Alligator mississippiensis: one gene and its partner. The protein of the gene in region 1 binds, or shares a complex with, the protein of each later gene. Links are inferred from orthologs where the notes say so. Each region holds a gene or a part of one and is shown on either strand. Other genes may lie near its edges.

Region 1 (11,083 bases):
TGCGTGGAGCACAGAACAGGAATCTTTAGGTATTGTAGCATTTTCTAATAAGAACCAAATGTTATAGCCTGAGAGTCTGCTCCCATGTATACCCATGCTAACCCAAAGAAAGCATCTAACAAAAGCAATCGAACCATGTTAGACTTCGCATAGCTCACATTAGCAGCAAGCACCATCTGAGGAAGAATGCAGGAGTCTTTCCTGTTTCTGTATTTATAAGAAGCCCATCAATGGCACAGAAGCATAGAAAATTCGGGTTGGAAGGGACCTCAGGAGGTCACACCTAGTCCAAGCCCCTGCTCCAAGCAGGACCAGCCCCAACTACATCATCCCAGACGAGGCTTTGTCCAGCCAGGTCTTCAAAACCTCCAAGGATGGAGATTGTACCACCTCTCTGAGTAACCAGTCCCAGTGTTTTACTACCCTCCTAGTGAGAAAATTCTTCCTAAAATCTAACCTCAGCTTCCCTTGCTGCACCTTGAGCCCATTGCTCCTTGCTCTGCCATCTACCACCACTGAGAACAGCCCAGCTCCGTCGTCTTTGCAACCACCCTGCAGGGAGGTGAAGGCTGCTATTCAATCCCCCTCAGTCTTCTCTTCTGCAGACTCAATCAGCCCCATTCCCTCAGCCTCTCCTCACCAGTCCTGTCCCCCAGACCCACAACCATTTTCATTGCTCTCCGCTGGATTTTCCAACTTGTCTACATCCATTCTGTAGTGGGGGCCCAAAACGGAACACAGGACTCCAGATGTGGCCTCCCCAGTGCTGAACAGAGGGAAGAATCACTGCCCTCGATCTGCTGGCACCGCTCCTACCGATGCAGCCCAGGATGCCGGTAGCCTTCTTGCCAATAAGGGCACACATTCTGGCTCCTATCCATCTTCTTGTCCCCCATCACCGCCAGGCTCTTTTCTGCAGAGCTTCTGCCCAGCCGGTCACCCCCAGCCTGCACCGGTGCATGGGATTGCTCCGTCCGAAGTGCAGGACTTTGCACTTGTCCTTGTTGAACCTCATGAGATTTCATTTGGCCCAATCCTCCAATTTGTCTAGGTCCCTCTGAATCCTAGCCCTACCCTTCAGCGTATCTGCTACTCCCCACAGCTCGGTGTCATCTGCACGCTTGCTGAGGGTGCACTCTGCCATCTTCCAGGTCTTACCTATAAATGTCTATGGGAGAAGAATTGGTGTAGTGTGTGCTAATAGCTATTGGGTAGATGTCTATCACAGTCCTCACAAGGGCAACTGGCAGCATCAGCCGGCAGGTTGAGGACTGAATGCAAAATAGAAATGTTCTCCCTTTAAGGAGAGTTTCTCCAGGTCATTTTCCATCCCTTTATTGTTCCAGGAACATGTTAAGAAAGGCAGGATGTCCTCATGTGTACTCTGGACGGTTCTTGAGGGCTGGTAAAGACATACAAAGCCATCTCTATCTGTTTGTTCAGTTTGAATCCAACACAATTGACCGTAGCTGAAAATTATTGTCACCTGATGTCCTGTGAAACGTGTGGTGGTCCCCATAGTTCCCCAGGAATCGCTCCATAATACAACACATCTGAATTACTATTCCTGTTTCCACTTTACCAGGGAGGCCAGTCACTGAATGGCTGTGAGATGTCGAGCTCACGCCCTTCTTTGCTTCTTCCAGAAAACCTGCACTGTCTTGGCCAACAAAAAGCAGAGAGCTTCCACCTCCACACCTTGAAGTCACCTACATCTCATTGGATTTCAGCTCCTCATCAGTAAAGTGAGGGTCATAAAACTCAGGATGGTATTTTTCAGCATAAGCTCACTGATCCAAAGGCTTTCCTTCCTGATTCTAGGTGGGGATTCTTTTATTCAATCTCCAAACTTCTGGGATGGGAAATCTCTTCACTGCCCATCACCCACTGGATGCTGTAGTGATGGTGGCCATATAGGTACTTCAAAGACTGTTCCTGTATCTCTGAGCCTTACAGGCATGAAAGCACACAGACATCCTTGTGCAGTCATTACGGGATCTTTTTTATGAGCTGTTAGTTTGAGGGCATCCATAAGGAGGTGAGTAACACCTGGCCAGAACAGCCCCTACCTGATTCCTCTCCTCTCCTCCGCAATAATGGCTCGAGTTCTCTGTAGCACATGCCTTAGCAAGACTGAAGATGCAAACCCAGGTGGTTTAGGGGCATTCTTGATGTCAGTCTAGTCTACTGAACTGGAATTGCACGATCCAGGAGACAAATCCCATTGACTCTGAACACAAGCTGGACTCTGCAGTCTTAAGTGCAGTCTTGCTGCCCTGTCAGAGATTGAACGGCTCCTAATTGCTTCTCCCTGCGGTGCAATGCCAGAGGGTGCTGCTGGGCATTTAGGTTCTGTCGGGGCTGAAACGAGGAAGTGCAATTACCAATCCCTCTTTCCCCAAAGCCCAGGCTTGGACTATTGGGATGGAAAGAAAACGTCCCTGGCTCCAGATTTCAACTGCAGGGTCAACGCTGAAGTTTTGCAATTCAGGTTTAAACAGCGCGAGATGCCCAGACGAGCCCAGGACTGCTCATTGCTGCTTTGATATAAATTGCCTGCGATTGAAAATGAGCTAACTGCTGTTTGTTCATCACTTCCATTTAAAAATTAAACAGCCTTACCCCTTTACTTGTGCTGAAGCCAATGGCATTGCAGCTGGGAGTGCATTATGAGAATAAAGCAGAGTAAGCAGGCATAAATGAAAGGTCATCCAAGCCTTTACGATGATGAGACTGGGCAGGATCGATGTCGGGTCTCATTCAGAAATCTGAGAGTGGGAGCTGTGACTTGGCACCGACGTAGCATCTCTTCTGCAGGGAGAACTCGGAAAACCTGGGCAACGGTGACCAGCTACAACCGCCTACCTGAAGCAAAGGCTTTTCATACCCAGCTCTAGGTTTTTTCAGTTCATAATTGAACAGTGAAGATAAAAGTGATGCTTTCCTTCATTCCCTTTAGGTTAAGCCGTGCATAATTTGCTGTTTGAATCTATATCTAAGTCCATAAATTGCTGCTTATGGGAACCTGATCCATTCAGAAAGATCTCTTGTTTGCCGTAGTTTTTCAGTTATTCACCTACAATCATAGGTACTCCTAGGCACCTCTTCTCCTGTGTGAAGTGGCACTAAATAGCAGATAACACATTAACGAGGCAATACAGATGTGACAGCTGATTGTAGCACTTGATTTGCTTCTCTGACCAGGTATCCCTGCAGCTCCCTGCCCTTTCTTTGCAAGGGAGCAAACCTCGCTTCTGCAAAGTTGCATTCTGAGCAGCGTAGCTTAGTACCGACGTTTTAAAAACCATACCCAGAAAAAAAAAACCCAAAACCAATCCAGCCCCACAATATTTTAGCAGAGTAGTTCACAACAGTGCTATAAAAAAGCTGGTTACATACAGTATAACCTAGGTTGTTTTTCTCCTGTATCTCTATTTCAGTTCCCATTGCCAGCAGTCCTGGTTTCTAAAGGCTGCGCGGAAGGCAAATGGCTCTATAGCACGTCTCACTACTTTTAAAAGACTCATTCATTATTTTGTGCTTGCAGCAGTAAGACAGCTTATTTCAGAAGTGAGTTTTAACAAAAGCGTATGATCGAGTAGTGTTCATATCACTTGCCCGCCTGCCCGCCCGCCCAAGAAAGCAGGAGCAGGAGAATGCAATGAAAATGCTAAAGTCACAAGACAAAGAAAGGCAAGCTTTTCAATCTTCCTACTTTTTACTCTTTTTACACCCCCTTTTGAGCCAAGAACCTGAAAAACCTACAAAAAATAAATGTAGCACCTCAACAGGGACGCAGAAGTAAGAACTAAAATGATACACATAGATTAGGCCGTATTTACCCCCAGCTGGTGGTGTAGCAGGGGGTGAATCTGGTCCTTTGCTCCCAAGGGAGGTTGTTTTCAATGGGTTCCCTTCTCAATTGATGGAAGGACAGCAGCTGTTGCCTCAAAAGGGTTAAATCACCTTTTTAAAGGCAGCTGAGCTAGAAAGAAAGTTACAGAGAGAAGCAAGGAAGGCATCATTCAGTTAGGACTTACTTTCAGCCCCATCAGATAGTAGAGGACACTAATGATAGCCACAGGCAGCACATAGAAGAGGAAGGAAGTGACCTGGATGATACAGTTGTAGATCCACATAGGCATGACCACGGTGCAGGTGGCAGAGCCGGGGACCAGCGTCCCGTTGGGGAAGCGCTGGAGCAAGATGCCGTGAGTGCTGGTGTTGGGGAGAGAGAAGAGGACGGAGAGGACCCAGAGGACAATGATGATCCTCAGCGCACGCTTCCTGGTGCTCTCCAGCTTGGCCCGGAAAGGATGGAGGATGGCGACATATCTCTCCATGCTGACCGTGGTGACACTCAGGATGGAGGCAAAGCAGACCGTCTCAAAGAGCGCCGTCTTGAAGTAGCAGCCGACGGGCCCGAAGAGGAAGGGGTAATTGCTCCACATCTCGTACACCTCCAGCGGCATCCCGAAAACCAGCACCAGCAGGTCCGAAATGGCGAGGCTGAAGAGGTAGTAGTTGGTGGGGGTTTTCATGTTCCTGTGCTTTATGATCACCAGGCACACTAACAGGTTTCCCACCACCCCCACCACAAAAATCAAGGCATATATTAAACTCATGGGCACGAAGAGGTGACTCCGTTTGGGGCCACATAAAAAGGCGAGATAGTCCTCAGTGCTGTTTAAATGCCATCTGAGCGGTTCCTCCTTCCCAGCGAGGTGATCGAGCCATGAGACGTTGGTGATCCAGTCCATGGCTGGTTCTGTTGGGATGAATAATGCAGATCCAGTCTTCTTCCAGGCTGCTTCAAGTTTTCCCTGTGCCACTTTTCCCACGTTTAGAAGTAGGGAGCGAGGGAGAAGGAGGGATGTCCGGTCAGACCTGAAAGCACACAGATACTGAGAGACACAGGGTGTATGCACGTCTGGCTTCAGTTGTGGTTTCGCCGTTGTAAGAGCTGTTCCCTTGTGAGGAGTCGGCTAGAAAGCCCCTCCTTTCACACATATTCATTGGCTAGCTAAGTGCATCAGAGTCTAGGGTGAGAAAGGAGATCCTGGCTATTCAGACCAGCTCTCGCAGCAGATGCATTTACTGAACCAGCAACATGGGGTGCATCCAGCTGGGAATCTGAAATCTTGGATACGAGTCCGGCTCCAAGACTTGTCAGATAACTGAGCAATGCAGCCTGGGTCCCAAAGCTTTTACAAAATGAGCCTGAAGCTGCATCCAGCTAAAAGCCACAAAGAAAATGCCTGGTTTTCAGGTGCAGATGTCTGAGTCCCCGTTGATTTTTAGTAATCAGCTTTAGATGGCAAAAAGCCATCTGCAAACAGATTGACTCTCTCCCCATAGAGATCTGCTTTTGTAGTTCAACTTGTCAGATTAGTCCAGGGTACTTTTGCATGCTGGCATTTTTTTTTTTTAAACTGTGAAGTTATTTTGTTGAATATGGGGCAAAAAGGGTTTTATTTCTACTCATTATTGGTATCGGAAGTTTGTGTTTTTGTCACTGGCTTCTTGTTTCCTCAGAGGCAAGAGACAGTCAGCTAATGGTGGATTTGAGCCCAAATCTGAATCCTGACTCTGCTTCACTGGAATCTCTTTGGCCTGAGAATCTGGTTGGATAAAAACCAACCCATTTCTTTCTCAGGAGAGATCCAAATTTGCTGTCTCTTGGATGGGTCCAATCCATTCTCTATTTCTTCTGATCACGTGTTTCACTGTGTCTCGACCTCTCTTCAACAGCCAAGCACCTTCAGGGACATTTCCGCATCCGGCAGAATACACTTCCCTAACGTAATGGCCGAGTCCCAATAGAGCAGGCAGCTCTTTATCAAGGTATAATTCAGCGCTGAATTGAACAATACAGAAATTGCTTCAAATAGGTTTCCTTTTTTTTTTACAACCCCCCCCCACCTCCCTAGCACATATAATTTTGCAATGCAGAAAGTTGAACTCTTTAAAACGAGGTTGTAGGGAAACTAAAAAACCCTTTGTTTTTGCATAAAAAGGGCTCAGATCTTTAGTAGTAGAAAAGGACTATTTGGTGGTTTCTACACTTTAAAAACGTGGAAAGCCCCCCATTGTAGTATGACGTACCAAGCAGAATACGGGTTAAAATAACCCATGGAAAGAGAAGCCAGGGCAAAACTTTCTGCATTTAGTAGAGAGACAAGGTTCTTTGGGTGAATATGAAATCTTTTATTAGACCAACTTAAATAGTTGGAAAAAAAAATGTTTTTAGCAAGCTTTCGGGTTTCAACATGGCTACAACCTGCACCCCTGCATTTAGTAAGCCGTTTTCTCAGACTGGGGGTGCTTGCATCAGAGCCCCATCACATCACATCTCTTATGGATCCTCTGAGTATCAAAAGGGGGTTTTCTACCAATCTCCGCAGCAAAGGATGAGCTGGGCAGGTAGACGTGGGGAGCTCCTCTTCTTCCCACCCTTGTGCGCCAATAGGCTAGCAGGCAGCACGGCAGGTGGCACGAAGCTGGCTAAATGGCTTTTCTAGCATGAAAGGATGCCAGATAAATCCTCAGCAGTCCCTCCAGACTGGTTAAAGACCCCTTAGAGCTGCTCTGGCAGTCCCAAGATACCTTATGCAGATTGAAGATTAAACATCTTTTTCCACCCTGGGAACTGCTGAGCTGACCAGACCTTGGAGCAATCTCCCCGTCTCCTGTCCCTGGCTGGCAGCAGATTTTTCCATGGCAGATGCAAAAAAACCCCCCAAAACACAAACCCTTGGAAGCAGCAAAGAACAAAAATCAAGGATTTGCAAAGACAGCTGTGCCCCAACCCCAGTTTGTCGGCAGGTGGAAAACAACGCTTTTTTTATCCCTCCAGTATTTTTTGATTCTCTTTATGTAGCTTGCTGTGTCTTTCTCACCAGGGGATATCTGCGTGATAACACTCCCTGTTGGGATAGACTCCAGGTTGCCCCCGCTAACATCAAAGAAACCAAGGGCTGAGCCCACCTGGAGGCCGGCGTCCCCTCCCATCTGCCCTGCTGAAGCCTCCCAGTCCGAGGCAAGTTCGTCCCAGGGGCAGGTTGTTAATAGCTAGCTGTATAGAAATGAACTGGAGATCTCCATTGAAATAAAAGTCAGAAGAATTGCTCTTAATGATAACTGCTGCACACCCTTCACTTATGTCAAATATGTTCCTCCTCCATTTACAATGACCTCCCGGCTTCTCTGAAGTCTGTTCATTCAGCAGAATGAAATGTTTTGTTGGATTCTGCCTTTTGGCGCACAGGAAGGGCGTCCTTTTGACCCATTTCTTCCTTCCTCGGGTATTCAGCTCAAAAAGGTCTCACTGCATTTCAAACATCAGCATCTACTTTGAAGGCATTATAATTGATCCTTGGCTCCTTACGGGTAGGAACAAAGGAGCCGTCATACAGGATGAAACTCATAGACCATTTATTCCAGTGGCATGTCTCTAACAACGAGCAGCATCAGACGTTCAGCAAAACCTTGCTACAGTGCTGCAGATAATCAAACGCTTCTTTGTCCTTTGCCTGACTTTCAGACCTTAATCTTTCCCTGGCATTTCTTCCATCTCTCTCCTGCCTTTTATCATCAACAGGTCCCAGCAGTTCCACTCTGATATTTTAGGTATGGGGTGATAACAGCATGGGCGGAGCAGCGCTAACAGGTGCATAGACTCGCTGGGAAACTTGGGAAGCATCTGCATTGACCCACACCTGCGATTAGTGGTTGATGCTTTGAAAATATCTGCAGAAGAGCCTTCTGCTGTTATTATTGCACAGAATCATGAATTCCTTTAAAGAAAATGAAAAAGAAACAACAGGTTTCACTTGGCTCGAACTCAACTTTAAAGGAAAGAAAATTGAATTTGATTGAGCCATTCACAAAAAGAAACCAACTGGGGACCAATCTGGTAATTTTATATATATGTATGTATATATATGAGTGTGTGTGTGTGTATAATATAGCGAGGAATATATATAATATAATATAATATAGTGTGTATATGTGTGTGTGTGTGTGTGTGTGTGTGTATATATATATATATATATATATATATTATAGCAAGGAAAACTACTGTACTATGAGAATAACAGGCAAAGTTACATGAGGGTGCATTCATGCCCACGGCTCCCAGTCCTACCTGTCCGTGCTCATGTTTTCTGGGTCTACTGTCCTTCCTTCCTGTGTTTATTCTCTTCAATCCATACTGTGCTCAGATTATGGTGAGTACTGGGTCAACTTTACCTTAAAAGAGTGGTATCACAGGGCCAAAACACAACAAGAGCTATTCCTGAAATAATAACTAATAAAAAAGCCATTGTTTCCCCTCACTGGTCAGTCATTCATCTGCAAAACTTTGTCTTGCTTTGATTAAGCAACTCAGCTCCTGCCCTTGAGACCAGGTGCTGAGGATGAGAGAGACAGAAATGCAATTAAATTGGTTTCTCAAAGTTTTCCACTGAGTCCTGTCTACAGTTAAACTTGCAACAAGCACTGGGGTCCTGTGTCCATTTGTGGCCCCCCACTGTGGACAAATTGGAGATGGTCCAGTGGAGGGCAATGAAAATGGTGAGCGGGTTGGGGGACATGACTTGTGCGGAGAGGCTGAGGGAAGTGGGCTGATTGAGTCTGCAGAAGAGAAGACCGAGGTGGGATTTGATAGCTGCCTTCACCTCCCTGCAGGGGGTTTGCAAGGAGGATGGAGCTGGACTGGTCTCAGTGGGGGCAGATGGCAGGACAAGGATCAATGGGCTCAAGCTGCAGCAAGGGAAGTTGAGGTTGGATATTAGGGAAACCTCTCACACTAGGAGGGTGGTGAAACACTGGGACAGGTTACCCGGAGAGGTGGTGGGATCTCCATCCTTGGAGGTGTTTAAGCCCTGGCTTGACAAAGCCTTGGCTGGGATGATGTAGTTGGGGCTGGTCCTGCTTTGAAGTCCTTCCCAATCCTCATGTCCTATGATTGTATGTTTTCAGGTCTGGTTATCACATACAACAACCAAAGGCTAATCAAGAGAGACAAGGTTCCTTGGGTGAATTTGATATCTTTTATTGGACCAACCCAAATAGTTGGAGAATAGTTATTAAGCAAGCTTTCGGGTTCAAAAACCCTTCGCCAGGCTAAGGAAGTTTCAGCAGTTGGCATCAAGGCACTTTCCAAATACCTTTTCACACAAAATGGAAACAAACCCCATTTTTCCTTTCTTCAACTTTGTTTAATCCGTGCAGCATGTTTCACGGGGGGGGGGCACACACCAAGATCTCACTTTTTGTTTCCAAGTGGATGCCTGTTATTAGATACTTGTGACAAGAGTTCATGTTGAAAGCTGGCAATTCGGAGCATACATTTCAGCGAAGCAAACTGAACGACAGATCGAACCAGCAGCAGGAAACCCAGCTGAGACGCACCGGACACGTAGGTCTTGCTTCCATCATAAGTGCTGTCCTCTCTACGGACGATGAGCTTGTGGGAAGGTGCCAGCCCCTTCATTACCAGGAGCTAACAGTGGTTCTTTGTTCCCTGACCTAGCACAGCCATCCAAGGTGTAGCGAAGTGTAAAATCGTTAGATATTTAATACATGATAGTTAGATATTTAATACAGGTGTTTTTAGAGTACCCATCAGTGAGAGTAAAAGTTTGAGCAACTTCCAGTTGTAGGGAAATGTGGATAAAATCAGGTTGAGTCATAAAGCCGCACGGCTAGCCAGTGTCTATCAATCAATAAGCAAATGAAGTTATTCTGATTGATATGAGCTCTGAGTCTGGCCTGTGGAGGCTAGACAGGACAGCTGTGATGATCTAATCTTGCATAACTCAGGTCACAGGGTTTCATCCCGTGATGAAATCAAGCCTAATTAACTTGAACATATCTTTTAGAAAAGCATCCAGTCTTGAATGAGAAGCTCCAAGAGAGGTGGGATCTGTCACAACCCTTGGCAAGCCGTTCTAACGCTCATTTATTCTTGCTGGTCCGAAAGTGTGTTTAATTTCCAATGGGAATTATTTCAACTTCCAGTTCTAGCCCCGGGTCACTGTGTATCTTTGTCTGTTAAACAGCCCGGTGCCTTCAGCGATCTCCTCTCCGTGGGAGTGCAGGAGAGGAGGTTCAAACCAGAGATTGGCAAGTGCTGGACCCTCAGACTTTGGGTGTGCTAACTCATTTCTGCAAATGAGAAAATTACTGAGAAACAGAGAAAACTTATGGCTTACAGTCCCCGAGTTCAGCTACATCAGGTTGATTAAGGATCTTTGGCTCCTTCCCTAGGTTTTTTGTGAGTTTTTTTATCCCATTGCAAGGGCGCAGGTCTAGCTTTCTCTGCATTCATTACAAACCTTTGACATGCCACGACGCATTTGGATTTATTGCGTCTAAATGACGCGGCCTGCCGGTGGAATCAGCTCCTACACGAGGCAGATCTGGACTAACTTTTGAGCATTTCAGTGCAAGTTATTTTTCAGTTATTCACGCTTTTCTTTGCTAGTTCGCATGGCTGTGTGCAATGTCTGATATCCCCGGGATGCGAATCAACATGCAAAAGAGGTGCATTTCGGAAGGACTGCATAAAATACCAAGGAAGACTCGCAGTCTTCTAGAAGCAGCGTGCGATCATTTTGATATCGCGCTGCTGGGTTCATTTTGACCCAGTGGAGATGAAGGTGGAGCAAAGGGGAAGGCATCAATTCACTTTTATTCCTAGATCTCCCCACCATTTTTTTGACAGGCCCGCACCAAAATGATGTGTAGATCAGATCCCCCATTGCCGATCCAACGGGCCTGAGAATATCTCAGGCAGCGTGTACAACACTTCAAACTGCTACCGCGTGGGTCTTTCTGCAACGCGGGGGAACCCTCCCCTTCGCTGGAGTTACTTTTAAATGGTTTCTCCAAAGAATAAAAAAAAATCAAACTTCCAAATATACTTTGCCGTCCCGAGTGCATTAGGCTGCTTTCTTCAACCTCGCCACTCTCCAAAGAGCCAAGCCAAAGTGAAGCAAAATGTGTTGCACACCCACTTTGTTGTAAAAGCACTAAAGAGTCTCAGGCTAGGAGTTATAGCTAATTTAATCCACTCGAG
Region 2 (10,522 bases), on another chromosome or scaffold:
GAGCACCTTATGCTATAGGGATATATATATATATATAAAAACCCAAAGAAAAAAGAAAAGGGTTCAGTTTTAAAAGAGGAAAATGTTTAGAATGGGAAAAATAAATGAGCAACTCAATACAAATATGGAAAAAATTGTTTAGGTTCTGCTGAGCAGTTGTTACAAGCTTGAAAATGAAATGTGTTTATTTTCATGAGATAAATAACTAATATTTAAATCTTCCTTTAATTGAAAATGCAATGTTGACTTACGTGGGGGATCCTACCAAAATATGATCAGATTTTCCATCTGTTAAACATATGAAAGTAATGCAAGTACAAAGTTCCAAATAAGTCACCTCTGTTCTGCGGACAGTATTTTACCTGTCTTAGACATTTATTGGGAAAAAAATGGTTTTTGTCTATGGTTATCCTGATCCTCACTGTAGTACCCAATTCTGGTTGGTGTCATCAGTGGGATTAGTCACATGACCAAGGCTGCAGAATTATACCAGTGCCCCTTTCAATTGTCATTTTTGGCCCCAGGAATCAAATGTCTTGCTCTTTGTTTTTTTAAAAAGGTAAATAATTTGTCATTTAGTAATATACAGCCTAAGCATGTAAATTTTGCTTCTCTAATGAGGTACTTGTTTTTCTCAACTCCCTAAGACACCAGGCTCTCTTCCCTTCCACTTCTGAAATGAACGGGATTTTAAGTAATTTTGCAATGGATTTGGGTCCATGGTCTTCAAGAGAACAATTAACATATTTTGCATATTCAAAATAATCACAACTGACTAATCAAAAGCGCTCATATTTCAGCTTGTTAAGGGGTCTAGGGCTCTAGGCTAACAAAAATATGACTACATTAAATCATAGAACACAGTAACTCTTTCTAGCAATCAGCTACTCAGATGAAATCTATCAATACACTGATAAGTTTCATGTTTTAAATTTAGTGAAGCTCCCAAACGTAATGTTACAGAATCTCTCATTACAAGAGAATGAAACAATTGTTTTCTTCAGCTTCTGGTGAGGGTGTGATTAAGTGCAGCATTTTTCAACCCATGGGTAGCGGCCCAAAAGTGGGTTGCAAGAATATATGAAAGGCTCACAAACAAACTTTAAAAATAGATAAACAAACTTGAAAAATTGGTTCTCTTTTAAAGGAGAAAAACATGGGAAACAGTGGTTTTTCCCTTGCAGGCTGCAAGGGGCTCCTTTGGGCCCCACATGCTCCGCACACTGGAGGACTGGGGCCTGGGAGTTCTGGGCAGTGGGTCCAGAGTCAGGAGCACTGGGTTGGGACTGGTCATTGATGTTCACACATGGGTCCTGGTACAAAAATGGTGGAGAACCACTGGTCTAGTGTAGATACCAAAAATGTATTTTATTCAGTTGCTGAAGCCATCAGAAAACTTAGCATGTATACTTGGGGCAACATAAAAGATGTCATTCTTGGTACTTTACAGTTTGAGTCACAATGTTTGGTAAGAGTATCTTTGTATAAGTACCACATGTGTGTTACTTTGTTGCTGACAGAGGCAAATGTAATAACAACAATAATAATAATACTGTCAGAAAAGATTGTTAAAGTGCTGTTCATTTTTATACTGGTATATTTATATGATTCTATGTGCTCTATTTCACTAAGTGACTCTATTAAAAAACTATCATAGCATTTTATTTTGAATAGCAGGCTTGCAGAAATGTAAACCTCTCTCCAGATCATAGGTCGGCAACCCCTGGCCTGCGTGCCGAGCATGGCACGTGAGGCCATTTTCCTCAGCACGTGTTGGGGCTGGGGAGGCAGCAGCTGTTCGTAGCCTCCCGGCTGCAGCCGGCCCCAGCTCTGGATAGCTGCAGCCAGCCGGGAGCCCGCGCTGCTCCCAGAAGGGTTTGCAGCGTCCCAGCTGCCTGCTGGGAACAGCCCGGGCTCCCGGCTGGCTGCAGCTATCCAGAGCTGGGGCCGGCCGCAGCCGGGAGGCTACGAACAGCTGCTGCCTCCTTGCCCTCGGACCAACAGGCGCAGTGCTGGCACCTGCTGCCTTCCTGGAGCCCGGGACCGGGAGATAGCCGGGGCCGGGGCCGGGGCCGGGGCCGGAGCCGGAGCCAGGGCAGGGAGGCGGCAGCTGTTTGTAGCCTCCCAGTCGGAGCCGACCCCGGCTCTGGGTACCTGCTGATAGCCACAGAACTCGGGCTGCTCCCATGGAAGTCCTGCTGCAAGCATCCCGGGCTCCGTGGCTATCAGCAACTACCCAGAACCTGAGCCAGCTGCAAACATCTGCTGCCACTGCACCCCGGCCCCGGCTGCCTCCCAGCCCCAGACCTGAACCTGGGCTCCGGGGAGGCAGCACACACTGGCAATGCTCCCTGCTGTGCTGCTCTTGCCGCTTCTGCAGAGCAGCGTTGGAACCCAGTGCGGCAGGGCACAGCAGGGGGCTCAGAAAGCTGCCTGCTCCGAGCTCCCCACTGCCCTGCCACACTTCCCCTGCAGGTGGGGGCAGCAGGAAGGGGCGCAACCCTGCGCTGCTGCCCACGCTGCTCCTGTGCACACAGGAGGTGAGGGCAGCACAACAGGGAGCATTGCCGGTATGTGCTGCCTCCGCAGAGCCAGGGGCCAGGTCTGGGGCTGGGAGGCAGCTGAGGCCAGGGCCAGGGTGGAGAGGCAGCAGATGTTTGCAGCTGGCCTAGGCTCTGGGTAACTGCTGATAGCCACAGAGCCCAGGCTGGGGGGTAAGGGGCAGCAAGGGTGGGGGGCACAGGGCAGCAGGGCTGGGAGGCAAGGGCTTTGGGTGGGGGCAAGGGGCACAAGCAGAGCATCCTGCCATGTACCCCCTGTCCTCATTTTGTTTTTCTGGCTTGCTGGCACGTCGGCACCTTCCAAGGTAGGCATTGTAGGTTTTTCAGCACTCCAGCCAAAAAACGTTGCCTACCCCTGCTCTAGATCATTTTAAGAAGTTACTGGCAACCCTAGACCCGTCTGTCAACAATATGGGCCTGATCCTCCGACTCCCTGAAGATCCACAATTCTCAGCAGTTTAAATAAATGGGAATTGAGAGCATCAGACCCATGCAGAATTGTATTCCTAATCCTTTAAAAGGGCAAGTAAATATCGCTTCATTAAAAGTGGATCCCTCTGATAGGAAATAGCAGCATCAAACATTAACTTCTGGGGCACTGTGGATATTCCAGACATTCAGATTTGGTTCTAGTATCTATGGGTAACAGTGTAAATTCAAAGATTTTTTTTGGTCTTTTTAAAAGCATGCTCTTTAGTGAGGTAAAATATTTAGACCCTGCTACTTTCTGATGGCGCTTAAATATCACAGTCACAGGTAAAAGAGCAACTCCCATACAAGCAAGACAAACAAAGCAAAAACAGTCAATATGTAATGCATTATTGTATGAGGTTACTCTGCAAGGAGTTAATAACTACGCTTGCAATGATGTTGTAAAGCTCCTGATAGAATAGGAAATGCTATCTACCTATCTGTCTATAACATAAGTTCTGTTTTTACTAAAATGCCATTTATTTAGTTACAACATCATTTTACTTAAGTCTGGAGAAGAGAAGACTGAGAGGGGATTTAACAACAGCCTTCAACTACCTGAAGGGTGACTACAGAGAGGATGGAGCTTGACTGTTCTGGTGGCAGATGACAGAACAAGGAGCAATGGTCTCAAGTTGCAGCAAGAGAAGTTTAGGTTAGATATTAGGAAAAACACTCACTGGGAGGGTAGTAAAGCACTGGAACAGTCTGGGCAGAGAGGTGGTGGAATCTCGGAGTTGTTAAAACCCAGCTAGACACAGCCTTGGTTGGGATGAGATAGTTGGGGATGGTCCTGCTTGGGGGAGGAGGGGTGTTGGTCTACATCAGTGTTTCTCGATCTGTGGGTCGTGACCCAAAAGTGGGTCACAAGAATATATGAAAGGGTCAGGAAGAAACATTTAAAATGGACCAAGAAACTTTAAAAATGGATTCTCCGTTACAGGGAAAAAATGTGGGAAACCCTGGCTTTCCCCTTGGAGGCTGGCAGAGTTGCAGCCTGTGAGGGGCTGTTTGGGGCCCCCCAGGCCCCACACACTGGGGCCTGGGGATAGGAGCAGCGGGTCAGGAGTAAGGGGAGCTGGGTTGGGGCCAGCCAGTGATGTTCGTAAGTGGATCCTGGTACAAAACAGGTTGAGAACCCCCAGTCTACACGACCTCCCAAGGTGCCTTCCAACCTGCATTTTCTGTGATTCTATTACTAGCCTTTATAAAGGAAATGGAGATTCATAAGAGTTGATTACATTAATTCTCCAATTCAGTGTTGGACCCATTGCAAATAAAAGCCAGATTGCAAAACAGTTGATTTTTTTTGGACCTGGAAAAGGAAAACAACTCAAGTTTAAACGCAACAATCCCCCCCCCCCCCCCGACTGCTAGAAGAGTAATATAGAAACCAGTACTTCACTCCTCGCTTGCTGCTATACCCGGGTTTCTGCTCAAAAGAAAACAAGAAGTTCCCCCTCTCATTTCTTTGCTGCCAGCAAGAACTTCACAGACCGTCTCAGGCATCATTTCTTTCGCCAGCCAGAATGAAAAAGGCGTGAGACTGTGCCGAAGGGAAGCCAAGGCACCGGCGGGTATTAAGCGGGAGCTGCCCCCGCGCCCCGAGCGCCAGCGGAGGCGGCCGGCCCCGACCGCAGCGCTGCCCCGGCCCCGGCCCCGCTGCCCCCGGCCCTCGCCGCTCACCTCGGCAGGCGCCCGTGCAGGAGGCGAGGAGCAGCAGCAGCAGCAGCGCGGCGGCGCCCGGCACGTCCCCGGGGCTGCGCTGCGGGCCGGCGGGCGGCTGCTGCTGCGGGCAGAGGCTGGTGCGGAGCATGGTCCGGCTCGGCTGGCCCGTGCGCTCCCGGAGCTGAGAGGAGCCTGCAGCGCGGGCCGGGCGCGCTCCCTCCCAAACTTTTAAATCTCCGGGACACGTGGCGGCCTCCCCCGGACTCAGGGCCGCGTCACCCCGCTCCCCCGCCCGCCACAGCCCCGGGTCTGCGCGTGCCAGCCCTGACACAGCTGGGAGGGAGGGAGGGGTGCGTGTGTGTGTGTGACAGAGGAGCCCTAACACAACAGGCTGTGTGTGTGTGTGTGTGTGTGTGTGTACCAGCCCTGAAAAAGTGGAGGGGAGAACCAGCCCTGAAACAACTGGAGAGGTGAGAGAGAGGGAGCCCTAAAACAAGAGGGAGAGAGAGAGAGAGTGTGTGTGCATGTGCATGTGCATGTGCATGTGAAGGAGCCCTGAAACAACAGGGATTGGTTTCAGACTGACTGTAAAACGATTTCTTCTGGAGCTGTCCATCCTTGGCATCTGCGATAAAGTGTCCTTTATCCCAAGGATGTCAAAGATACAGCCCGCAGGCCAGAGCCAGCCCGCAGAGTCTCATCATCATCCAGTACCCACTGCTGCCAGTTGGTCTCAGAGTTGACCTGCTGGCAGCATGTGGGGCACACCGGATGGCCCCTGCAGCACACGCAATGCCCACTCCAGTTTATGCCCCAGAGCATGAAGCAGAACTGCACCACACACAGCACCTTCTGTGGCCAGTCCAAGATCTAGAGCACAAGGCTGGTCTGTAGGGCTGATCTGACCCATAGGTCCGATCCAGCCCATGGACCAGCCCCAGGGTATTCTTCCAACCAGTGAGGCCTGATGTGCTTGAAACCCCTGCCTTAACCCTTTCTTACAAAGACTGGGGAAAACAAGGATGTCAGAGTTAAGATCCTTAGTCCCCAGTTCAGGAATGCTTTATGGGTAGGCTTTTAACCAGAGGCCCACGAGTAATCCAACTGTGGTAAAAATACAGCATAATCTATACACCCTGCTTTTGTAATTGCTTATGCACTCCGCATGTTTTTACTCTCGCTTCCACACTTATCACTAAGACAAGTAGACTAACAATTGATTTACGAGTAGAACTAAAATTCTGCAGACGGAGCCAGGAACGGATGCAATAAATAAGAGATAAGCAAAGAGGGACAGGGAAAAATGTTGATGCAAAGAAATTTTACCCTGACCAAAGGATGACCAGAGGGGCTTAAGAACTGCCCCTGGGAGGGGATTTAAGATGTAAATGATACATGTATGTAAACCGTCATAAAACATGTAACTGCTAAGACATACGATGCAAGACGTAATGCTAAGTCTGCCAATAATTGCACGACACGTTGAAATCTATTGTTTACGTTGGCTATAAAAAAAAGCTTCAGACACAGTTTGAGGTCGACTCTGATTTGAGCGACTCAGCTCCCTGGTCGATCTGTTTGCAAACAAATAAACTCGAGTTGGACCCGGCCTGAGTGTGTATGACTCTCTCCTTGAGGTGTATTGGAAAAGCCTCCAGGGGCATGAAACTAGCCGTTTGTGCAACACAACTGACTGATCATTTGTGACAATTTTTGCTCTGAAAATTTTGAGAAGAGACCTTTTCTGAGAAAATTAACCAGTGTTGGTTAATTTCATCCCAAAAGAGGAGGATGAGGAAAATTCTAAACAATTAAAAATAGGTTGTCAAAGGGCAATAAGTGCAATTAAGGCAATTGCTTCTATTGTTACTAGAGAAGTAATGGAGGGAAAAAAGCAATAGATATCTAACAATTAAGTAGAACAACTGAAAGGTATGTAGTCTATGGATTAGAAGACCATGCATTGTGGTTAGCAAGGCTTCTGCTTGAACCTATACAGCTTTTACCTTGTATATATTTAGTATCTTCCTGTTATTAGAATCTCAGTACAACTAGTTGTTCATGTTAGCATAAAAAAACTGTAAAGTAAATGCCTCAAAGTTTACCTCCATACACTTACTATGGTTTATTAGAATCTCACTTAATGGAATCCACCACATTGGCATCAACATCTGAAACTATATTCTATAAATACGTGCTTTTTTGCACCAGCTATTAGAATCAAATTGCATGTATGCATGTTTCCTGCATGGCTAAAGCTACTGTGCTGGTGACCTGAGCATGTCTGATTGTGCAGGGCTTTTGGTTGTAGCTGTGTTGGTCTAAGGACAGAGGCAGACAAGGTTCTTTGGGTAGATGTGATATCTTGTATTAGACAAACTTGAGCATCATGGCATCCATACAAGCTTTGCACTTCGCTACCATTTATTAGAATTGCCTGATATTAATAAATGTGAGACTTAAATGAAAACACATATTCTTTTCCTGGGTATGTAGGCTATCAGAACTCCGACTAAAACATTATTTGCATCAGGAAAGCTCCACATATGTATGCTTTATAGTGCATATGCATACATATTGAGGGGTTGGTGTATAATAGTAATGTTGATACATAAAAAGCATATATTTGCAGTTTGAAAAAAAAAATTAGTTTCCAAGGGCCAAACTCTATTGCCATCAGTGAAGAGAACTCACATCTTCTGCTTTTCAGTGCTGCAGCCTATATGCTGAAAGTAGCAACAGCAATGTCACTATTTGCACCAACTGCACTTAGCCTGTTTGGTGCATGGCTTCAATTGGGTTGCCAAACAAGTTAGATTTGAGTTTCCATCTGTCTACTCCATCGTGTCAAGAGTTAAAAAAAAGTGTTCACAAAGGTACCACTGACAGTACAGAACTACAAAGAAGTTCTGTCTGACAAGCTCCTATCACCAGAGCCCATGCCAGCAAGACAGCCTCCATCACAGTAACACAAATGACTTTTGACAGCTCTACAGTCAAGAGGGATCTTGAAATGGTTCATGCACACTTTTCTGCTCTACCACAGGTGATCAAGAAACTTGAGATATGGGGGCTTCTCAATATGATTTAACTTGACAAAATCAAAGGGGTTGAAAAAATTAAGTCTGTTGTGCATGATATAAGCCAATGAATGAGAAACAAGCTGCAAAGACTTTTGAAGAGGAACTATGGATATGAAGCACTGGTAGTGGTGAAGAGTTACTTGGATGGTACTGATCTGGAACTACCAGAAATAGTACCAGCAATGCTGACTCCTGCTTTCAAATTTTGCCCTGTTACATCTGTGGACTTTGAAGGATCTTTCTCAAGGTACAAATTCATTCTGATTGAGAAGTTCCACAAATTAATACTGGAAAACTTGGAAAAAATAGGATTTTGAAAAGAGGGCATGCGTAGGGTGACCATACATCCCAGATTGCTCAGGACAGTCCCGGATTTCAGAGGTCATCTCAGCATTCTGGCTATTGGAGAAAATTGAAGCAAAAGTCCCAGATTGGCACAAACCTAGCCTCATCTGGAACCAACTTCTAAGGGAAGTGGCGCTTGCTCCTTCCCTGGGGGTCTTCAAAAGGAGGCTAGATAGACACCTTGCTGGGGTCGTTTGATCCCAGCATTCTTTCCTGCCCATGGCAGGGGGTCAGACTTGATGATCTGCTCAGGTCCCTTCTGACCCTACCTACTATGAAACTATATGCCAACTCCTGACTGAGGAGCCATGCATGTGCAGGTGGGCTCATGCCAATCAAGAATTTTTGCTTCAGTTTTGTTTCAGCCAATGAGCTGCTCCCTGGTCCAAACTCCTCTGAGCTGCAAGTGGAGTCTCTTGCACAGTGGAGTCAGGGTGAAGGGAGGGGTGCATGCAGGGAGGTGTGGGGTCATGTGTGTGTGTCTATGTGTGTGTGTGTGTGTGTGCACGGGTGCACGCATGCTGCGCTATCCTGCCTGGCCCTACTTCTGGGAGCTGGGAGGTCATGTGTATATGTGCATAAACACACACGCACATTGTCTTGCTCACTTCTGGGAGCTGCAGAGTGGGTGGGTGGGTGGGTGAGTGTGCTCTGTGCTGTCCTGCCCAGCCCTGCTCCTGAGAGCCACAGGATCAGGGTGGGAGAGGGAGTGGGGAGGGGAAGTTGCACATATTCTGGTGTCCCCCATCCCAAATTTCCTTCAAATTATTATGGTCACCCTAGGCATGTGGGATCAGTGACCAACCCTGCAGAAGTATCTGTTCTTCCCTGCTCCCAACCACATCCCCTACACTGAGTCAAGCAGACTACATTGTGGGAGCAACAGCCAGGGACTTTTTCCAAGTCCCCAAATCAGATAAAAATCCTTCTCCTCACCATTCCCACCCCCCTGCTCTCGGCACACCTTCCCTTTCCCTTTTTTCTCAGTGGCACCTTCTTTCCCATCCCATATTCCTCTTGTCCTCTCTACTTACGCCTCTGGAGGCACAAAGGAGAGGCACACCCACTGCTGCCGCTGTCCCAGCCACTCCTGCTCCACTTCAGCTGAAAGCCTTTTCCCAGGCAGGTGGGGAACACCTGGGGTGGGGTGGGAGGTGCAGCACAGGAGAGGGAAACTTCCCACTGCTGCCACTCTCCCTGGCTGAGCCCAACTGCCTGCACAGTCACTCCCTACAGCCCTAGTTGAAGTGGGACAGAAGCAGCTCAGGGAGGGGCCACTGAGCATGAGGGAGAAAGAGACAGGGTGCTGTGAGAGTGGGGTTTCTATTTGCTTGAGGGACCTGTGATGTAGTCCAGACTCCTCTGGGGACCCAGGTGCCCAGAGCCACTGGGCTACACTGTGGAAAAGGAGGTAGAACCATGCCAGTGCACCTGCTCTGAATCTGCTCCTAGTAAACGCAGTTACCTGGGGAAAGTTGTAAGATCCCCACTTTGTCTATTTTGGAGCAGGGACTTCAGCCATGGAGCAGTTTGTTTTGTTTTGGTTTTTTAAAAATAATTAAGTGTTCATTAAGCAGGAGAGAACACATGTGGGCACACATGAGTGGAGTAGATTCAGTCCCTACTGGAATTATTTAATTATATATGCAACCCGGGTGGTACTCCAAGCGGTACCCCCTCTACAATTGAAGAGCTCAAAGCAGGTGCACAAGCGCTGTGGGAGGTGTGGGGATCCTCCTCCCCCTATAGAGCAGAGCCAGACCACCAATGGGGACTTAACCATATACCTTTTAATGAGGGAACAATGCTGGGAACATAACCAGTATAAACCAGAGGGGTATAGGGAACACTACAATGCCCCGAAGGGGCAGGATTCAACAAAGGTTATACACTTACAATCATAGAAATATTCATCCAGTTGACAAAAGACAGGGTTAACCAAAATGTAAAACACAAACAGCAGAACAAACAATACTGGTAGGTGAAATATAAAAGGCACAAAATACAAACTGTCAAATGACAAGGAATATAGGGCCTAGGTACCTGGAGGGGGAGAAAGGGGGAAAACCCTTTTCCACTGCAACAAAGATTTCTCTCTGCTACTGCACTCACCCCATCTGGGACTTGAACTCAAATCTTTCACATGGTAGGCAAAAACTCTATCACACAAACAACAGTGCTTGAGCTGCTCCAAACTGTTAGGGGGACTTGACCATCCTGGAGCCCCGGCCTCACATTGAGCTGCCTTGCCTCTTATTGGAGGAGCTGGAAGCAGAGCTGGGAACCTTTCAGGTCACTGCTCAGATCGTTGCTGGAGCTAGAGAGCCTCTCCTGCTGGCCACAGTCTTTTGTAGGGGATCCTGGAGCCCAGTGGGGAGCCTCTCCTGCTGGCCA

What was found.
Region 2: the proteins of NMUR2 (region 1) and NMU are in contact, whole or in part, in a cryo-EM structure (PDB 7XK8), measured with the Homo sapiens proteins. The link is inferred for Alligator mississippiensis from reciprocal best matches to the Homo sapiens genes NMUR2 and NMU. Residues at the interface, in NP_064552.3 of Homo sapiens: Ser42, His43, Gly98, Glu102, Glu105, Met106, Trp107, Arg108, Asn109, Tyr110, Pro111, Thr123, Phe126, Glu127, Asn181, His185, Pro199, Ser201, Thr203, Cys204, Val206, Tyr213, Phe284, Arg288, Phe291, Glu295, Trp297, Ser298, Glu299, Ala302; in NP_006672.1 of Homo sapiens: Glu146, Phe152, Ala153, Ser154, Gln155, Gly158, Tyr159, Phe160, Leu161, Phe162, Arg163, Pro164, Arg165, Asn166.

Annotation. Positions count from the first base shown.
Region 1 is NC_081832.1:76,086,141-76,097,223, forward strand, and holds the start of NMUR2 (neuromedin-U receptor 2), read right to left. Parts: upstream 4,941-11,083; 5' UTR 4,761-4,940; coding exon 4,041-4,760; intron 1-4,040. UniProt on the Homo sapiens protein: Receptor for the neuromedin-U and neuromedin-S neuropeptides.
Region 2 is NC_081825.1:60,615,787-60,626,308, forward strand, and holds the start of NMU (neuromedin-U), read right to left. Parts: upstream 4,932-10,522; 5' UTR 4,849-4,931; coding exon 4,719-4,848; intron 1-4,718.